Linked DNA regions of Saccharomyces cerevisiae S288C. The gene in region 1 interacts genetically with each later gene. Each region holds a gene or a part of one and is shown in the gene's direction. Other genes may lie near its edges.

Region 1 (8,973 bases):
GTTGTGGGCTAAGGGTGCTTTGCATGGTAAGGTCGCTGGTTGTTTCGTCTCCACCGGAACTGGTGGTGGTAATGAAGCCACAATTATGAACTCTTTGTCTACTTTGGCTCATCACGGTATCATTTTTGTCCCATTGGGTTACAAGAATGTTTTCGCTGAATTGACCAATATGGATGAAGTTCACGGTGGTTCACCATGGGGTGCGGGTACCATTGCAGGCAGTGACGGTTCAAGATCTCCTTCCGCCTTGGAATTACAAGTACACGAAATTCAAGGCAAGACTTTCTACGAAACCGTTGCAAAGTTTTGAAATAATTTGAAGTATTACTTCTCCTACCTATGGAAATGAATGATCCTTTACCGAAAATTATTCTGTGATGAAAAAAGGACTGCCCGTCAGGTATACCTAAGTATCTTTAGAAAATATATATACTTTAAATACAGTAATTTCTTCGGACATTTTAGTTAAAAAATATTCACAGGAATATATAATGTCTTTATGCAACGATAAAAATGGCGGAAATAAACAAAGGAAGCCTATTAATTCAGTCCTTGATTAATTCCAAGTTTACTCCATTAATTGAAGGCTTAATATTTTTATTTTTAACCTGCAATTCCGCACATTTCCTTAAGTCCTGTAAGAATCCTAGACAGTTTTCGTTAATAGTTCTTGTACCCATATTATCACGAATGCATTGGTCATATTTCTTCATTGGCTCACTACATTCGCTCATGATACTTTTCACACTGGGCACTTTTTCTCTAATGCATGTAGATAATATCATTCTTCCATCTTTACACTTCCCAGGATTTTCCTCATTATCTCTTATGCATTTATGATATTGCAGAAACTCCTGGGGGCAATTTGCCACAACATCTTCTATGACAATCTCATCCAAAATATCAGACATCTTCTTCACCTATCTTTAACTTATTAGCTCGGTGCTTACAGGAACATGTCTTTATATTAGGGAGGGACCTGCAAGTTTACTTTGAATAGTTTCTTAAGCGTAGGAAAAAAAAAAAACTCCGAACTCGGATGTGCAGCTAAAAGCATCGCTATCTCATCTCCCATTAGACCACAGACAACATAAAATTTTATCTCTTTCTCGTTCTGGGACGTAAGTACAGGTCAATGGATCCATTTTTAGAGTTCAGAGTAGGCAATATCTCATTAAATGAATTTTATAGAAGAACTATTCAAAGCGAATTTGAGAGGATCCTTGAAGATCCCCTATCAAATATGAAAAACTACAGATTTAGTAAACAATCAAACTATAGTACAAAAGAAAAAACACCGTTAAGTATAGGTGTTAACTGTCTTGATATTGATGATACTGGTCAAGTGTTATTAGGAGGTGGAGATGATGGGTCACTTTCCATTTGGGGTTTAGATGAATCATTGCACCGCAATGATGAAGGTGAACAGGAATTGATCAATAAAAGGCTAAACTATATCAAGCGACAGCCTCACCAATCAGATGATGAGCCTGCTCAAATAATGGGTTATAAAAATAAAAGAACACGAATAAACGACAACAACACTATGAGACTGGTGCACAGTTTTCAAACACAGAGAAACAAATATCGAATGTATAGACAGTCTAGTGCTGCAGTTCCAGTTCAAAGATCACACATATCAAATAAAACGGATTCTCCTATCGGGTTTAGTGAGACACTATCTGAAACAGATTCAGAAGCTTCCATATCTCACCATAAATATGGTATAACAACTTTGAAGTGGTATAAGGCTGATAATGGGATGTTTTTTACTGGCTCAAATGATAAAACTGTAAAAATATGGGACACAAACAGGTTTGAAGCGGTTCAAGATATAAACCTGGGGTATAAAATAAATCAAATTGATAATAACGTTGTCGACGACAGTTCTTTGCTTGTAGTGGCAAGTGAAGACTACTATCCAAGATTAATTGACCTGAGAACCATGAATTCAGGGGTAACTGCGCTTGGAATGGGAAATCAAACACGAATGCAATCAGAAATTTTATGCTGCAAATTTAACCCCGTCAGGGAACAGATTATTGCTTGTGGTGACATGGAGGGTGGGGTAAAATTATGGGATCTAAGAATGAGGAACAGACTGTATTCAGAATTGAAAAGAAATAAAAATAGGTTCAAGACTATAAATAACGATGATAATGACGATCAAAGCGATGTCTATTTCAGCTCTAACCAATCAAAAGCCCATCTGAGATGTTGCAGTGACATTGTTTGGAATAGTGAGGGTTCAGAGCTATGTTCAGTCGGCATGGATGGAAAACTGAATGTTTGGAGGCCATTTACGGAAATTCTGCAACCAGAAGGTCTAGCTAGTTATTCCCAGTTGGGAACACAAGACCTGAGCCGTATCAAATACAAAAAAAGAGTATCTCGAAGGTTGCTTTGGTTTGACAAGTTTTTACTGTGTATTACTGACAATGGTGAAGTAGAAATATACAATACGGAGGAAAAAAAACTTTGGAACAAGCTCGAATACCCAATGGTTAATCAGGTAAAAAAAAATCAGGCTTCGCATTGTCAGTTTAGTTCCATGATTGTGCAAACAAATATAATGAATTCAGTTGGCCTCAAATTGTTCTTTGGAACTAACAACAACACCGTTAGCGACGGCGGATCCATCTTTGAATGTTCATAAGTAATAAATGCCGTATAGAATATGATAATAGTCTTCGCGGCTCTTATAATTGAACCAATGTAGGTTTGTATTACCCGGAAACGTATATCGCTACACACGAATATACAACTAATAGCTATATACAAATGCTTTCATCTCAGACTTGGCAGGTATATTTTACCAAGCCGCTTCACCTCTTATCCTCCACTTCATGCATACTTTTCAATAGAGAGCATTTCTTACCACCTCACCTTAGTTTCAGCTGTAGCCTCTTTTCTGACATAATATTGGTAAGTCGGGTTAACCAATTCCGGGCCGAAAGCTTTTTTTATTCACTCTATTTTTGTTTGCATTTAAACTCACAGTGGATATTGAAGGAAGGAATCAGCCCTGAGATTGTGTGACAAGCCTTTTGCAAGACAGAACAGGAGAACAAGAAGCCATAAAAGAAGAATAGACAAATATAAATACTTTTGTTTGAATACCCCTATCAGGTCTTTTAAGGAATAAAAAAGGAGAAAACAGGAGAATATACCATATAGGAGACGCGATTTCAAACGAAAGCTTGAGAAAGGGTTATCGCTGAAATTTAAATAGAAAGAGAAAATATCACAACTAGAGTTAGTATTCTTTTTATCGTTCATCAGCTCTATCAAGATATAATATTTGCTCATCTTTATCTCTCTTATTTTTTTAACACCACCTCCTGAAAGAGAACTAATTGGTATACTAGTTTTACGAGGGCTAGCTTTTGGCTGTTATACGTATAACCACACACCTGGTGTTCTGTACGAACGTTGAAAAGTCAAAGCAAGGGGGAAAAGATAATATCCTTGAAGATTATAAATCCTAAAGCAAGCATATTGACGAAGACGAGATAAGAAAAATCCAAAAATGTCAACAAATCTAGCAAATTACTTCGCCGGTAAGAAAGATATTGAAAACGAGCATGTAAATAGAAATGCGAGCCATGAAAGTAATAGCAAAAGTGATGTCAAAATTAGTGGTAACGATAACGACAACGACGAAGATATGGGGCCTTCAGTATCGATGGCTGTTCAAGCGAAAAATGATGATGATTTCCATAAATCAACTTTCAACCTTAAAAGAACAAGATCAATGGGCCTTCTTGATGAATATATTGACCCTACCAAGAAATTGCTAGGAAGGTCAGACGACTTATATGATAACGACAATGAATATTATGACAACTCATCTAATAATTCTTCAAGCAATTCTTCAGATGATGATTATGATGACGGCTATCAGGAACACTCAACCTCCGTTTCTCCACCGCCGGCGGATAATGATAGCTACTTAATTCCACAAGATGATAATGACGTAGTGGTAGAGCCAGAAAGACATGTTGACTATCTGTCACATGAATGGAAAGAATCAGAAATTTCTAATTCTTGGAAATATATCATCCTAAAGAAAAAGAAAAGAGATGTTGATCTAGTAAATGCTGCTAGGTTAGAAAATGCCTCATGGAGAACATGGGCAAAAGCAAGAAACAACTTGAAAACAGTGTCACCTGAAGTGGTTAATTGGTCAAAAGATTCTGATGTGACTTGGCTATATGGCCCTATTGTAAGAGATTCTGAAGGTAATGCCCAAAGTGAAGAAGAACATGATCTAGAAAGAGGATATGGTTCGGATGATGAAAATTCCAAGAGAATTTCAATGCCCACTAAAAATTCAAAGTCGATCGCAGCTGCTCCGAAACCAATTTTGAAGAAGAGAACCGTCACAGAAATTATAGAGGACAACGCTTTATGGAAACTGAATGAGGCAAGAAAACACATGACAGAAATGAAACATGCTTCGGTAATAATGGATCCCAATGGCAACAAAAACGTCCATGACGATTTCGATGCTCTGGCCGCTCAAGTTAACGCCCAGTACTACCATTATCCCAAAGAATCGAACAGTAGCGTTAGTTTGAAGAGTCAACACTCTGACAAAAAAGATAATTCTACCATACCGAATCCTGTAGGAGAAAATTCAAATGGTGGCGGTGACAAGGGAGAAGAAGACCTGCATTTAAAGTCAGCGCTTCATGTTCAAAACAATAGGTCAACGGCACAATCAAACAAAAGCATACTAGAAAATAGTACCAATGATCGTAAGGCTAACTTGGATCAAAACCTAAATTCTCCTGATAATAATAGGTTCCCCTCCTCAACATCTTCCTCCAATAGAGATAATGAAAACAATTCCATGGGATTATCATCAATATTAACCTCAAACCCAAGTGAAAAATCTAACAAACCTACTAAAAATAGACATATACATTTTAATGACAGGGTGGAACAATGTATGGCACTACGATATCCAGCTTCACAATCGGAGGATGATGAAAGCGATGATGAAAATAAACAATATGTTGATGTTAATAACAATGCGAACGTTACAACAATAAACAACAATAGGACTCCATTGCTAGCCATTCAGCATAAATCTATTCCTATCAACTCCGCAACTGAACATTTGAACAAAAATACTAGCGACGATGATACATCCTCACAATCATCATCTTCATCACATTCTGATGATGAAGAACACGGCGGCCTTTACATAAATGCAAGATTTTCCAGGAGGTCTGACTCTGGAGTTCATTCACCAATAACAGATAATTCCTCTGTGGCTTCATCTACTACTTCCAGAGCTCATGTACGTCCCATAATAAAGTTGCTTCCTGATACCACTTTGAATTATGGATCAGACGAAGAATCTGATAATGGCGAATTTAATGGGTATGGTAATGCTGTGTCACATAACGTCAATACCTCCAGAGGCTATGATTACATATACGATTATAACTCGGTCTACACTGGTGATACTTCCAGTTTTTTACCAGTAGATTCATGTGACATTGTAGATGTTCCTGAAGGAATGGACTTACAAACAGCCATTGCAGATGATAATGCATCAAACTATGAATTTAACAATGCGGTAGAATCCAAGGAAAAACATGTTCCACAACTACACAAAGCTTCAGCAAATAATACAACACGTCAACATGGATCGCATATGTTATTATATGACGACGACAATTACAGCTCTTCATCAGATAGCGAACAGCAATTTATTGAAGACTCACAATACAATAGTAGCGACGACGAAGAGGAAGAAGATGACGATGACCAAGAAGTAGACGATAACCACGATGAAGGACTTTCACTGAGGAGAACATTGTCACTTGGGAAATCAGGATCTACCAATTCTTTGTACGATCTAGCACAACCATCACTCTCTTCGGCAACTCCTCAACAAAAAAATCCTACTAATTTTACAGGGGGTAAAACTGATGTAGACAAAGATGCACAACTGGCTGTCAGGCCGTATCCGTTGAAGCGCAATTCCTCTTCAGGGAACTTCATATTCAATTCAGATAGTGAAGAAGAGAGTAGCAGCGAGGAGGAACAAAGACCATTACCCGCTAACAGTCAGCTGGTTAATCGAAGCGTATTGAAAGGCAGTGTGACACCAGCAAACATATCATCTCAGAAGAAAAAAGCCCTTCCAAAGCAGCCAAAAGCGTCCGATAGTTCACAAAGCTTTAGAATTGTAAATAATACTCCTTCACCAGCCGAAGTGGGGGCGAGTGATGTTGCCATAGAGGGTTATTTCTCTCCTAGAAATGAATCTATCAAGTCTGTTGTTTCCGGGGGAAATATGATGGACCATCAAGATCACTCAGAAATGGACACTTTGGCAAAAGGATTTGAAAACTGCCATATAAATAATGCTAGTAAGCTAAAGGACAAGAAAGTTGATAGCGTGCAAACCACTAGAAAAGAAGCGTCTTTGACGGATTCGAGTAATGAAAGCTTACACAAAGTGGTGCAGAATGCAAGAGGTATGGCAAGCAAGTACTTGCACTCTTGGAAAAAGAGTGACGTCAAGCCACAAGAAAATGGAAATGACAGCAGTTAGAAGAAAGAATTTTGAAGTCAACATGAAGAGAAAATAAAAATCCAGGTAGTGTGGATCAGTGCCGTCTTTAGGATCCAAGTAAGCTGTAATCGACTGGCATTGTCAAGGACAAATGTAGACAGCGAAGCAGTTATTTTACGTACACAATTAAATTCGCTCCAGATTTCAAAACTTCTTTATACCTTTACAATATTTGGTACTTATGTACAAGAACTTCTTGAGCTTCCATAGTCGTATGTGTGTTCTATATATTAGCAATTAAACGCAGCTGATCTAAGATATGTTCGTGGGTAATGATTTTCAGATAGAGTACAATCAATGTTTTCTTCGATCTTTAAAGGGTTTTTCCTTTATAAAGAAGACACCACACAACAGTCTAGAAAGTAAACAAAACAAACTACGACACGGCTTGTTTTAGGCACAACTTTGTTTTAGGCAGAGCTTACAGTAATTGGCAGTATTGATATCCTAAAGCAGTATTAAAACAATTTAAAGGTTTGGTGAGGTATCTGGCCAATGTCAATAAGCGAAACACCTCATAATAAAAGCCAGGGACTGCAAAAAGCGGCTGGTCGTCCTAAAATTGTTGTTCCTGAGGGATCGCCTTCTCGTAATAGTGATAGTGGCTCTTTTACTATAGAGGGTGATACTTCCCTTAATGACGACTTGTTAAGTATATCTGGCAGTGTCACACCAAGAGCGAGAAGATCTTCGAGATTAAGTCTGGATTCAATAACGCCGCGAAGAAGTTTTGATTCTAGGACACTATCTGTTGCAAATAGTAGATCATTCGGTTTTGAAAATGAAACACATAGTGGGTCCATGGACTTTTCGCCATTGGGAAATAACTCCATCTATGAAATTGTGATGAACACAAGGAGGAAAAACTGGCTCAATTACCCCACTGTTGCTGATATTCCACAAGTTAGCCTAAGCAAAAATGATCTGGATGACCATTGGAAAACTCATGTTATCGAATACGTCAAAAACATTAAAAGTGATTACCAAATATTTCAAAGCACAAATAATATAAGAAACATGAATCAGATGGAACAGTTAAAAGAACTGCGAGAAGGGGAAAATATGCATGAGGAGTCGTTTGAAGCAAATCTGAGGCAAGGGGATGCCGAGCTAATAAATAGTATACCTGACTTTTACTTTTCAGACAAATTTCAATTAGATAACCCTCGAACTTTTCATAAAGTGTTGGACGCTATCGATTTATTTTTAACGAAACTAGACATGAAGAGACAAGCGGAAAGGGATGAGGCTTTTTCTGAGTTGAGGGACAGGCTAAACGATTTTTTGGATATCGTAGAAACATTACTGGTTACAGAGATATCCAAATCCTCACACAAATTTTTTCATGCGCTAAGTGAAGTTGACAATATTCAGAAAAGAGCCTTGGACACAATGAGCGAGCTTAAGGAGCTAGCACAGAATATCAAGACCATTGACGCAGAGAATATAAGAAAAAAAATTTCACATTTAGAAATGATTTTTAAGAGGAAGAATGTAGAGAAACTAGAACAGGGATTATTACAGGCGAAGTTAGTGCTGAACAAAACAGATGAGTGTAAGTCAATGTATGAGGAGAACAAGTTGGATAACTGCTTAGAGCTGATAAAATCCATCGATTATCTGATTAAGGGGGATGATTCAATAAACGAAGATGTTCAGAGTTGGACTAGGTGTTGGCCCTATAAATTAAGCAATTTGAGGACGATACCTGCTTTGTCAGCAACGAGAGAGTTTTTAACCAATATGAAGATTGAAATAGGAGGAAAGTTCAGCCTACAATTATCGATTTTACTAATAGATGATTTAAGATCCTTTTGCAAATCAATCAAACCAAAGGAAACACTACATAGGATACAAACGGGATCTAATGATAAAAAGCAAACTATATTTACTGATAATTTTTCTTCAAAGATAACCGAATTAATAGTCAGATTGAATAGATGCGAAGAATTAACGAGTGCCTTTGACCTATACAGGGAAAAATCTATCACTGAGCTTAAATCTATCATAAAAATTTATTTGCCAACAGAGAATGCACACGCTGACAATAACCACGATGAAAAACATCTTAACAATGGCTCTACTAGTGGGTCTAAACTTTCAAGATTAATAAAGGAGCAAACTCCTGCAGAATTTCAGTCCATGCTAGTAAACATATTCACGCACGCGCTCGAAGCTCTTCGAAGACTTTATGGGCATCAAAAGTTGCTTCTAGATATCTCTCTTAACGAGCTAGCATCTGTTAAAAGTCCAAACGAAAACCAGCACAACATGATTACGCAATTGGATATACGTACTGGCATCAACGAAATAATCAGAATTATTCAGTTACGTACAGGCAAGATCATTGCCGTAAGAAGAGAATTGAACTTATCTCT
Region 2 (5,440 bases), on another chromosome or scaffold:
TCCTAAGCAGAACATGACTAAATCGCCATAAATTAACAATATAGTGGGAATAAGGCACACCAGAAGTGCCACGATATAGTATATATACAATGATAAATGAGTACGTTGCCAGAAAGGTCGCTCTAAAGGACATGCAACCATGTGCGATCTGTAGCAAACCATCCACTACCGTCCTTTACAACGCATCTGGTCCAGATTGGCTATATACATGCGAAATACATTTACAAGATAATCCACAATTTGTCATTCCCCTCTATAGTACAGAGTATAATGAAGCCGTGGCTCAATTAAAACTAGTAAAGGGGAAAATGGATAGTCTGACATCAGCTCAAACCCAATTAGGGTCCTGGGATGGTTGGGTTACTAAAATATTCTCCAAGAAAGAAAAGGAGACAAATAACTCTAAAGACCCTGATCCAACTACAACCGACTCTACTGATACATCTCCACAGGCTAAGAACGATGCAGAAATCTTGTCAGAAACAAAGAAACAGTACAGCAAAATACTTGACAAAGTTACAGAACTGCAAAGGAAAAACAGAAAATACGAACTAGCAAAAATCATGTTTGAAAGCAGACTCCTAAGAAAAAGAACAGAACAAGTAAATCGCGAACGATACCTCAAGGAGCAAGAGAATTACTCTAATACGGATCCTGAAGAACTGCTTCGAAAACACGTGTTCCCCTCCGTTCCAAAATAAGGACGCAACGGTTGGACCGTTCCTCTTCCTATGGCCTAATACCCATGAACTATTGATTATATAGTATATAAAACTCACCATGGATTATCTATTCATGGTTCGTAACCAAAAGCTAAATGCTCATCACATTCTAAAGATCACAAAATAAAATCAACACGTATCAAGCGACTAAATTGTAGCTAATTTTTTTCTTTCTTTCCAGGGAAGGCAGAAAGTGTGAGTGATGTTTGTATTTCTGACAAGCTGTTGAGAGCAGGCAAATGGTGCTTCATCAAGTTAAATAATCATCGTTGAACGACTTCAAATTAACAGCGGCTTGTTCCTTCGTTCCCTTCATATTCATCACTGAGCGTAGAAAGCTAACGTATTACTCTTTTTTTTGGAAAGGGAGTCAATTGACGCTTAAAGACTAGTCATTTTGTTTAGAAAAAGTCTTATATTTATTTCTGCAGGTGGCAACATACTAGCATATGGAAAAAGTTTAGGTAACGAATTTTGATCAAACTAAATCTCACTTCTGAACTGACTACATATTCTTTATTTAAGGAGTTGACATTTTTCATTTATCCAGTCACAATTTTAAAAGCACTTCGTTAACACGTTTGGTTGTCCTTATTTTTGCATTGTGATTATATCAGGCGGCATTAAGTGAAGTATACCTTGTGACCTGAAGATTTACTTTGGAAAGTAATTGATGTTTTAAGACAGTACCGGTTTCCTTTTTTTTTATTTGGATTTTTTGTCAGTAAGAATTTGTAATTATAGATTAAGATAAAACGAAAAGAAGCATATTAATAAGGAGTTTTGAACATGGATAGGAGTGATAAAAAAGTTAACGTCGAAGAGGTCAATGTACCTTCAAACTTACAAATAGAATTAGAAAAATCAGGCACCAGTAGCAGTGTATCACTCCGAAGCCCGACTAAGAGTAGCGCTACCAATTTGGCGGGCATGGCCGAAGGTGCAAGAGATAATGCATCAATAGCGTCTTCATCGGTAGATTCCCTCAACATGCTATTAGAGCGGCAAAGAGTAAGGCAGTTAAACCATCCACAGCACCAACAGCATATAAGTAGTTCACTAGCTAAGACCCCGACAACGACTTCATCATTTTGTTCGAGCGGGAGTTCTAAGAATAAAGTTAAGGAAACTAATCGAATATCTCTAACATACGACCCGGTGTCAAAGAGGAAAGTTTTAAACACTTATGAGATCATCAAAGAATTAGGCCATGGACAACATGGAAAAGTAAAATTAGCAAGAGATATATTGAGTAAGCAATTAGTAGCGATTAAAATAGTGGATAGACATGAAAAGAAACAGAGGAAGTTTTTCACGTTTATCAAATCAAGTAAAATATCCGAAAATGATAAAATAAAACGAGAAATTGCCATTATGAAAAAATGCCATCACAAACATGTCGTACAACTGATAGAAGTTCTGGATGATTTAAAATCAAGAAAAATTTATTTAGTTCTAGAGTATTGTTCTCGAGGCGAGGTAAAATGGTGTCCACCGGATTGTATGGAATCAGATGCTAAGGGTCCCTCTTTACTAAGTTTTCAAGAAACGCGAGAGATTTTAAGAGGCGTTGTGCTCGGCTTAGAATATCTCCATTACCAAGGAATCATTCACCGAGATATTAAGCCTGCCAACTTATTAATATCAGGAGATGGCACTGTTAAGATTTCCGATTTTGGTGTTTCTTTAGCTGCTAGCAGCACGAATAGTTCCGATAGTAGCGAATCCTTAGACGAGTTAGAATTAGCCAAAACAGTGGGCACGCCTGCATTTTTTGCTCCCGAAATGTGCTTGGGTGAAGATGCATTCACCAGGTATAACTTAACAAAGGAAAATTTATTTCGTGGTTCTTGCATCTCATTCATGATAGATATTTGGGCTGTGGGTGTGACCTTGTACTGTCTTCTTTTTGGAATGCTGCCTTTTTTTTCTGATTTTGAGCTCAAATTATTTGAAAAAATTGTAAACGACCCGTTAAAATTTCCAACATTTAAAGAAATACAGTCCAACAAAGTATCTAAAGTATCTTGTGAGGAGGAATACGAAATGGCAAAGGACCTTTTATTGAAATTGTTAGAAAAAAATCCCCAAAAAAGAATGACTATACCTGCCATTAAAAAACATCCTTTTGTTTCATGGGATTTTGACCACGTACCGGAGAACGATGAAAAGTTACTATCTTCTGTCCTTGAGCAAAAATTACGTTTCCAATGTAACCAAACTGATCAATTTGAACCCATTTCTATTTCAAAGCACGAATTGAAAAACGCTGTCTCCGGTGTCGGGAAAAAAATCAAAGAGTCCGTACTAAAAAGTATCCCGCTAAAGGATCCGTCAGATCTCTCTAATAAAAACTACCTTCATCCAACGGAAACCACTAGGGGCAGAGGGGATGCCAATGTTATTGTCAGCGAAGGTTCAGTGTTATCGAATATTAAGGAATTAAGTGCTAATGATGGATGTTTGAACACTGATAGCGACACTAATATTAATATCAACGACGATGATCATTATAGTGGTGATGATAACGATGGACATTTAACGAAAAGAGAACTAGAACGAGAATTAAACAAATTCGATGATAAACACGAGGCCGGAAATATGGTTAATTTACCTATCAATTCCTCATTTGCATCCTTGGACAGCTTCTACATAGATAATTTTGCGATGGCTAGAATGGGAATGAGTTCTCCAGAAGCGGGAGATTCGGTTTCGTCTGTACCAAACCTTCCTTCTGCACCGTCTTCAACAAGGCTTGGACGATCACCAGTCTTTAGTGGAGTCACCAACCAACCAAGTCCAATTCGCCCCGTTTTGCCACAACAAAAGTCATCGTTTTGTGCAACAGGTCGGTATGATAAGAGTCACAATAGTCTTCTTAGAAATTCTTCATCTCATCTAACGTCATACAACTCCGGCAGACCATCTTCAAGGACTGGCCGAATGAATTCACGCAACCAAAACTTACCGAAAATACCAAATAGCCTTTCAAAAATCTCAACAACGAAATTGACTGAACTAAGAGTTCCAAAGGATTCAGAAATTCCATCACCTGCAAAAAACCCTAACGCTGATCGTTTGAGAAGGTTTCCCGTAAAGAAAAATACCAAAACACCCGCCATAAAAGATCCTCCGAGAATAAACATTAATAGCAGCGATAAGTCAGGCTCCAAAAATTCTCCTATAAAATCCTTATACCAACGGATGAAACAGTCTAAGGATAATTCAAAAACCTTCGAGGTACGTAGAGGAAACTTTTTCAGTCATTTTAATGGAGATGATGATGATAGCAGTAGCCAGTCGTCCGTAACCAGTTCTGGTTCAGAATCTGATTCTGAATTATCATCCACTTCATCGTCCTGTACATCTGGAACCCAATCTCGGAATAGCTCCAACAATAATGCATATTCAGAAACGGAGTCATTACCTTTCGAGTTTGGTGTTGATTCAGAAGATGGAAGTGGAGTATTATTAAGAGATTTACCTAACGAAGATCAAATAAGGCCGTTTCTGGATATACAACCATGTCGACGCATGAAAGTTAAAAGTTCATTGAACCTCGAACCACCTTCTGTCTCATCTTCTTCATCTTCATCCTCCGACGAAGATGAGCTAATTTTAAATGTCGGGACTGCAGGTCATCGAAGAAGGCATAATTCTTCAAAACTTAGTGAACTATCCAATAGTCCGCAGAAGGGATCAAATAATTTCATGTATTCCAATGGAAGTGTTCATGACAGTGAGACGACGATAACGCCGCAAAATATGGATGACTTGACGCTGCATCAGGCACTGAGCCGCAGCCAACCCATTAGTAAGCCTGGCCCATTAGTATTACCAAAGCGTTTAGACCAAAAGAAAGCTACGACGGAAACCTCAAATTTAACAGATATCGTTGAATTTAACGGTAATAACGATCATCGAAAGGACAAAAATTTCGATAAAGTTCTTTATTCAAGGGACTTGTTAAAAGATGCTCTAAGTTCCACTAATGCAGGCAGAAGGAGATCCATACCTTCAAATAAAATAAGAGGACGAAAGGACGCAAGTATTACCATGAGTACTAATGTTGGTAATGATGAACATGCTAGAAATACCAGCTGCCATGGTGATAAAGGACAAGAAAATGGCGCTATAAAACAAAGGACCCATGAAAGATCGCGATCTTTAACAGTCGCTGAACTAAATGAAGAGAAGAGAAGGAGTGCACTTCCATGAGTGTAAAATTCAAAGTAATTTCCATCGGACTACGATGTTAATCAGATATATGGTAGAAAGCTCTAACTTTTTACCCTTGCCAACATGCACGCATATATGTGTATGTTAAAATAAGTTCTGTATTTGAAATGCATGTGATTTACAATCCTCTTGCAATGAACTTAATATCATTAACAGGCTAAAAATAATATATGATGTAGATCTTTTTAGTTTAGCATAATATAATCTATAAATCTATAATATTTTTATTCTAAATTATTAAAAGGGCGGCGAGAGAAGTGTATCTGTGCTTAGAAAACTTTTCGTTTCTTCGTCTCACCCTGAGAAGTGCCTTTTCGTTTCAAAATCATTACTGGTGAGTGTCATTAAACTTTTTCAATTTGCAATTTCCGTATCTTTAAAATTTCATAAGGAAGCGTGAGTTTTAACGTGCTGATTCAAATTATCGCTTCTGCTGAAGTTCTTATTACAGATATGGCATGTAAATGGTTTTTCGCACA
Region 3 (6,234 bases), 400 kb from region 1:
CAAGTTGAGACAAATTTTCCAACAATTTGGCAAGGATTTGCTGGCCACCCATGGTAATGACATTCAGGTGCCCGAATCTCAGGTGAAATCTAACTACACAAGAGGTAACCAAAAAAGTAGCTTTACCGAAATCAAGGACTCCGCTTCAAAGCCAAAAAAGAATGCACTTCCCTCTTCTACTTCAACTTCAGCACCAGTCTCCAGCACCAACAAAGTCCCCCAAAACGGAAGCGGCAATAGTACATCTATTTATTTAGAACCAACTTTTAATGTGCCTTCCTCCGAGCTCTACGAAACGTTCCTTGATAAGCAACGCATATTGGCCTGGACCAGATCAGCACAATTTTTCAACAGCGGACCGAAGCTGGAGACCAAAGAAAAATTCGAGCTCTTTGGCGGCAACGTGATCAGCGAGTTGGTTTCATGCGAAAAGGACAAGAAACTTGTTTTCCACTGGAAACTCAAGGATTGGTCTGCCCCTTTCAACTCTACTATCGAAATGACTTTCCATGAGTCGCAAGAATTCCATGAAACCAAATTACAGGTGAAGTGGACTGGCATACCCGTTGGCGAGGAAGATCGCGTGCGCGCTAATTTTGAAGAATACTACGTGCGTTCTATTAAATTGACATTCGGCTTTGGTGCCGTATTATAAGATATATTGTTCTCATGTTTCAATAAAAGTATGCGTAAATATTTACATACCACTATTGGCATAGATAGAATGCAATACATCATGTAGTTCTGTACGGCATCCGCGCGGCTCCGATCGCCCGTCCTACTTTTGCGGCCCGGCGCCGACGGCCTCCCCGGAATTTACCAACGAAGAGGAAAATAAACTGGAGTTATAACGCCATTGGCGGGAAACTCCGAAACCATAGCGCCGTGGTCTTTCCCCGGTTTTTTGGCGCCGGGTGTGCTTGCGTTGTGTGAACGGCGCCCTGGCAGCTGAGGGGGAAGGGAAACGCCGGAGGCGACGGCAAGGATGACCATGGCGTCAAGGAACATGCGGAACATGCTAGAATGATTGCCGAAAGGGCGGGCCCTAGTCAATGGCATCATGCGGGAACGTGCAGTAAAGCTCAATGTAACTTGATGCCTATCGGCGTTGTTCGAGCTAAGGACGATGTGATAGACTGAGGAAGGGTGAACGTCGATAGTTAGCCGTTGTGAACTAAATAAAAGTGATATTTTTTCGTTGTTCTTTTCTTGGTTTGGCGGTGTTTTCATTTGTTTTCATGTTTTACTTCGCCACAGGTTTTCAAAGAACAACGCCTTAAAAATAGGAAAACGTTTTCGCTACAGGTGTTGTTATTATTGTTGTTGTGCTGTTGTTTATTGTGCTATACTTGTGGTATTTATTCTGGACTTCCGATCGGAAATTTTCTTCCCTTGAAGACCTTTTGAAGACAACAGTTATATATCATTGATCTGAATTTCTCAGGCTATTTTCAAAATTCCATACCTCCTTATTCCAACATTTGCTCGACTACTATAGAAAAGCCTTATTCTTTTATCTTTGAAAGAAAGAAAAGGTGTCATAGCAAAAGTTTATTGTTACTCTGTTTTGATATACTCCCTCTTATTCGTTGGAAGTATAAGATTGATTTGCATAAATTAACCAATCATTTTGCTACTTTCCCGGTTCTCCCTTTATTATAAACACTTCAGAAAAATATTCTGCTACTATTCCTTACTTTACTATAAGAATTTTGTTTTCCAAAAAAAAAAAATATAAAAAAAATAATCATACTCTATTACTATGGCTAACGTAGAAAAACCAAACGATTGTTCAGGCTTTCCCGTTGTTGACTTGAATTCGTGCTTTTCTAACGGCTTCAATAATGAGAAACAAGAAATAGAAATGGAAACGGATGATTCACCGATTTTATTAATGTCATCATCAGCTTCCAGAGAAAACTCAAACACTTTCTCTGTGATACAGAGGACGCCAGATGGAAAGATCATTACCACAAATAATAATATGAACTCCAAGATTAACAAGCAACTGGACAAGTTGCCCGAAAATTTAAGGCTTAATGGTAGAACCCCCAGTGGGAAACTAAGGTCATTTGTTTGCGAGGTTTGTACGAGAGCGTTCGCAAGACAAGAGCACTTGAAAAGACATTACAGATCGCATACAAATGAAAAACCTTATCCCTGTGGCCTCTGCAACAGATGCTTTACTAGGAGGGACTTACTGATCAGGCATGCTCAAAAAATCCATAGTGGTAATTTAGGGGAAACGATTTCCCATACCAAGAAAGTGTCGAGAACTATAACTAAAGCTCGGAAAAATTCTGCATCCTCAGTCAAGTTTCAAACTCCAACCTATGGTACTCCAGATAATGGTAATTTTTTGAATCGCACTACTGCCAATACAAGAAGAAAAGCAAGCCCTGAAGCTAATGTTAAACGTAAGTACTTGAAAAAACTGACGCGCAGGGCTTCATTTAGCGCACAATCAGCATCCAGCTATGCTTTGCCCGACCAATCTTCGCTAGAACAACATCCAAAGGATCGTGTTAAATTTTCTACGCCTGAATTAGTTCCACTTGACTTGAAGAATCCTGAACTTGACTCTTCGTTTGACCTGAATATGAATCTAGATTTAAACCTAAATCTAGATTCCAATTTCAATATAGCATTAAACCGTTCTGATTCTTCTGGATCAACAATGAATTTGGATTATAAATTGCCCGAATCAGCAAATAACTACACATATTCTTCCGGCTCACCAACCCGCGCATATGTCGGCGCTAACACGAATTCTAAGAACGCTTCATTTAATGACGCAGACTTATTGTCGTCGTCGTACTGGATAAAAGCCTATAATGATCATTTGTTTTCAGTATCTGAAAGTGATGAAACTTCTCCAATGAACTCTGAATTAAACGACACTAAATTAATCGTCCCAGATTTTAAATCGACTATACATCATTTGAAGGATTCAAGGTCCTCCTCTTGGACTGTTGCTATAGATAATAATAGCAATAACAATAAGGTATCAGACAACCAACCTGATTTCGTCGATTTTCAAGAACTGCTGGATAATGATACTTTAGGTAATGATTTGTTAGAGACCACTGCCGTTTTAAAAGAATTTGAACTTTTACATGATGATAGCGTAAGTGCTACCGCCACGTCAAATGAGATTGACCTTTCCCATTTGAACCTATCAAACTCTCCAATTTCTCCTCATAAGTTAATTTATAAGAATAAAGAGGGGACCAATGACGATATGTTGATTTCTTTCGGACTCGATCATCCTTCCAATCGCGAAGATGATCTGGATAAGCTATGTAATATGACCAGAGATGTTCAAGCCATATTCAGTCAATATTTGAAAGGAGAAGAGTCTAAACGATCCCTGGAAGACTTTTTATCAACGTCAAACAGGAAAGAAAAGCCAGATAGCGGCAACTATACTTTTTATGGGTTAGATTGTTTAACGTTATCGAAAATATCAAGAGCTCTGCCGGCCTCCACTGTGAACAACAATCAGCCATCGCATTCCATAGAATCAAAGCTATTTAATGAACCAATGAGAAATATGTGCATTAAAGTGCTTAGATACTATGAAAAGTTCAGTCATGATAGTAGTGAGAGTGTCATGGACTCTAATCCAAACTTGCTGTCCAAAGAATTGTTAATGCCAGCTGTGAGTGAATTGAACGAATATTTAGATCTTTTCAAGAATAATTTCCTTCCCCATTTCCCTATTATTCACCCAAGCTTGCTTGATTTGGATTTGGATAGCTTGCAACGATATACTAATGAGGATGGGTATGATGACGCTGAAAACGCGCAGTTGTTTGATCGATTAAGTCAAGGGACAGATAAAGAATATGATTACGAGCACTATCAAATCTTGTCCATTTCGAAAATCGTTTGTTTACCCTTATTTATGGCCACATTTGGTTCTTTGCATAAGTTCGGTTACAAATCTCAAACAATAGAATTGTATGAGATGAGTAGAAGAATTCTACATTCTTTTTTGGAGACTAAAAGAAGGTGTCGCAGTACAACAGTAAATGACAGTTATCAGAACATTTGGTTGATGCAATCCCTAATATTGAGCTTCATGTTCGCTCTAGTTGCTGATTATTTGGAGAAAATTGACTCCTCTTTGATGAAAAGGCAATTGTCCGCATTATGTTCAACGATCAGATCAAACTGTTTACCGACAATTTCTGCAAATTCTGAGAAGAGTATCAATAATAACAATGAACCTTTAACATTTGGTTCTCCTCTTCAATACATCATTTTTGAGTCAAAAATTAGATGCACCTTAATGGCTTATGATTTTTGTCAGTTCTTGAAATGTTTCTTCCATATTAAATTCGATTTGTCTATAAAGGAAAAAGATGTTGAAACCATTTATATTCCCGACAATGAGTCAAAATGGGCCAGTGAATCGATAATATGTAATGGGCATGTTGTGCAAAAGCAAAATTTTTATGATTTTAGAAACTTTTATTACAGTTTCACGTATGGACACTTACACTCAATACCAGAATTTTTAGGGTCATCTATGATTTATTATGAATACGATTTAAGAAAAGGAACCAAATCACATGTGTTTTTGGATCGAATCGATACGAAAAGGCTAGAGAGGAGTCTTGACACTTCTTCCTATGGCAATGATAATATGGCAGCAACCAATAAAAATATTGCGATCTTAATTGATGACACCATAATTTTGAAAAATAATTTAATGTCAATGAGATTCATCAAACAGATTGATCGCTCGTTTACTGAGAAGGTTAGAAAAGGACAAATAGCAAAGATATATGATTCCTTTTTGAACTCTGTGAGGTTGAATTTTTTGAAGAATTATTCAGTTGAAGTATTGTGTGAATTTTTAGTAGCGTTGAACTTTTCAATCCGTAATATTTCGTCTTTATACGTAGAAGAAGAAAGTGATTGCTCCCAAAGAATGAATTCTCCAGAGCTGCCAAGGATCCACCTGAATAATCAAGCGCTTTCTGTCTTCAATTTACAAGGCTATTACTATTGCTTCATCCTAATTATCAAATTTTTATTGGATTTTGAAGCAACTCCAAATTTTAAGTTACTGAGAATTTTTATTGAGTTGAGAAGCCTTGCGAATTCTATTTTACTTCCCACACTTTCAAGATTGTATCCGCAAGAGTTTTCTGGATTTCCTGATGTTGTATTTACGCAACAATTTATAAATAAAGATAATGGTATGCTTGTCCCTGGTTTATCCGCAAATGAACACCATAATGGTGCAAGTGCAGCTGTTAAGACTAAGTTAGCCAAAAAGATCAATGTTGAAGGGCTTGCAATGTTTATTAATGAAATCCTAGTTAACTCTTTTAACGATACCTCTTTTTTGAATATGGAGGATCCTATTCGAAATGAATTTTCCTTTGATAATGGGGACAGGGCAGTGACAGACTTGCCTCGTTCAGCACATTTCCTATCGGATACCGGCCTAGAAGGTATTAACTTCAGCGGCTTAAATGATTCGCATCAAACTGTTTCTACTTTGAATCTTTTACGTTACGGGGAAAATCATTCATCAAAACATAAAAATGGTGGAAAGGGGCAAGGATTTGCCGAAAAGTACCAATTATCTCTGAAATATGTTACTATTGCCAAGTTATTTTTCACCAATGTTAAAGAAAACTACATTCATTGTCACATGTTAGATAAGATGGCAAGTGATTTCCACACTTTGGAAAATCATCTAAAGGGAAACAGTTGACGATTATGTCTCGTTGCTGATATGTGTCGTCCCAGTACTCAACTCTTTCTGATGAGATTTTGAATATCTCATTTTATTTCTCATCAAACAGCCATGCATGCGACTGAAGTGGACTACTGCGGGAGAACACCGATCTTATCTTTGAAATTGTTGCACAAAAATATTTCACTACCTTGGCGTTTCTCATCTCACCCATTGGGGTGAATCTCGTTATTGCTCCTTATTTTGGTCCATTTTATATTAAATCCTGTATCATGTTTAACATTTTTCATCTTATACCTCATACAAAAAAGAAAAGCTATTTATGAAAGTTAGTTCATTACAAGATGCAAGCCTAAAATATATGCTTGATCTTAAAATTCATGTATAGAAGAAAAAGACCTTACCAACGTTGTTGGTTACCGTGTATAACTAATACCAATCTTGAACATTAACCACTCCTGGCGTGTGGGAGGATGTTCTTAGACTTAATTAAGAATCTCTAAATTTTTTTTTATTTA

The links.
Region 2: of REG1 (region 1) and SAK1, a mutation in one rescues a mutant of the other (synthetic rescue), as found in Saccharomyces cerevisiae (4 studies listed by BioGRID, with this or other methods).
Region 3: of REG1 (region 1) and ADR1, changing one enhances a phenotype caused by changing the other (phenotypic enhancement), as found in Saccharomyces cerevisiae (2 studies listed by BioGRID).

The regions. Positions count from the first base shown.
Region 1 is NC_001136.10:495,436-504,408, reverse strand, and holds REG1 (protein phosphatase regulator REG1), read left to right. Parts: upstream 1-3,529; coding exon 3,530-6,574; downstream 6,575-8,973. Other genes in the region: PST2 (flavodoxin-like fold family protein), read left to right, coding at 1-310; MIX14 (Mix14p), read right to left, coding at 546-911; RAD28 (Rad28p), read left to right, coding at 1,136-2,656; YDR029W (uncharacterized protein), read right to left, coding at 2,995-3,309; VPS54 (Vps54p), read left to right, coding at 7,091-8,973. UniProt on the Saccharomyces cerevisiae protein: Involved in RNA processing and negative regulation of glucose repression. Regulates the level of two antigens, P43 and P70. Binds to protein phosphatase type 1. Functions with REG2 and SNF1 protein kinase to regulate growth.
Region 2 is NC_001137.3:415,770-421,209, forward strand, and holds SAK1 (serine/threonine protein kinase SAK1), read left to right. Parts: upstream 1-1,511; coding exon 1,512-4,940; downstream 4,941-5,440. Other genes in the region: VFA1 (Vfa1p), read left to right, coding at 90-701; COM2 (Com2p), read right to left, coding at 5,346-5,440. UniProt on the Saccharomyces cerevisiae protein: Serine/threonine-protein kinase that phosphorylates SNF1, the catalytic subunit of the SNF1 kinase complex. Acts as an activator of the SNF1 kinase complex and controls its nuclear localization upon glucose and nitrogen depletion.
Region 3 is NC_001136.10:893,273-899,506, forward strand, and holds ADR1 (DNA-binding transcription factor ADR1), read left to right. Parts: upstream 1-1,762; coding exon 1,763-5,734; downstream 5,735-6,234. Other genes in the region: AHA1 (Aha1p), read left to right, coding at 1-655; YDR215C (uncharacterized protein), read right to left, coding at 817-1,230. UniProt on the Saccharomyces cerevisiae protein: Required for transcriptional activation of glucose-repressible alcohol dehydrogenase (ADH2).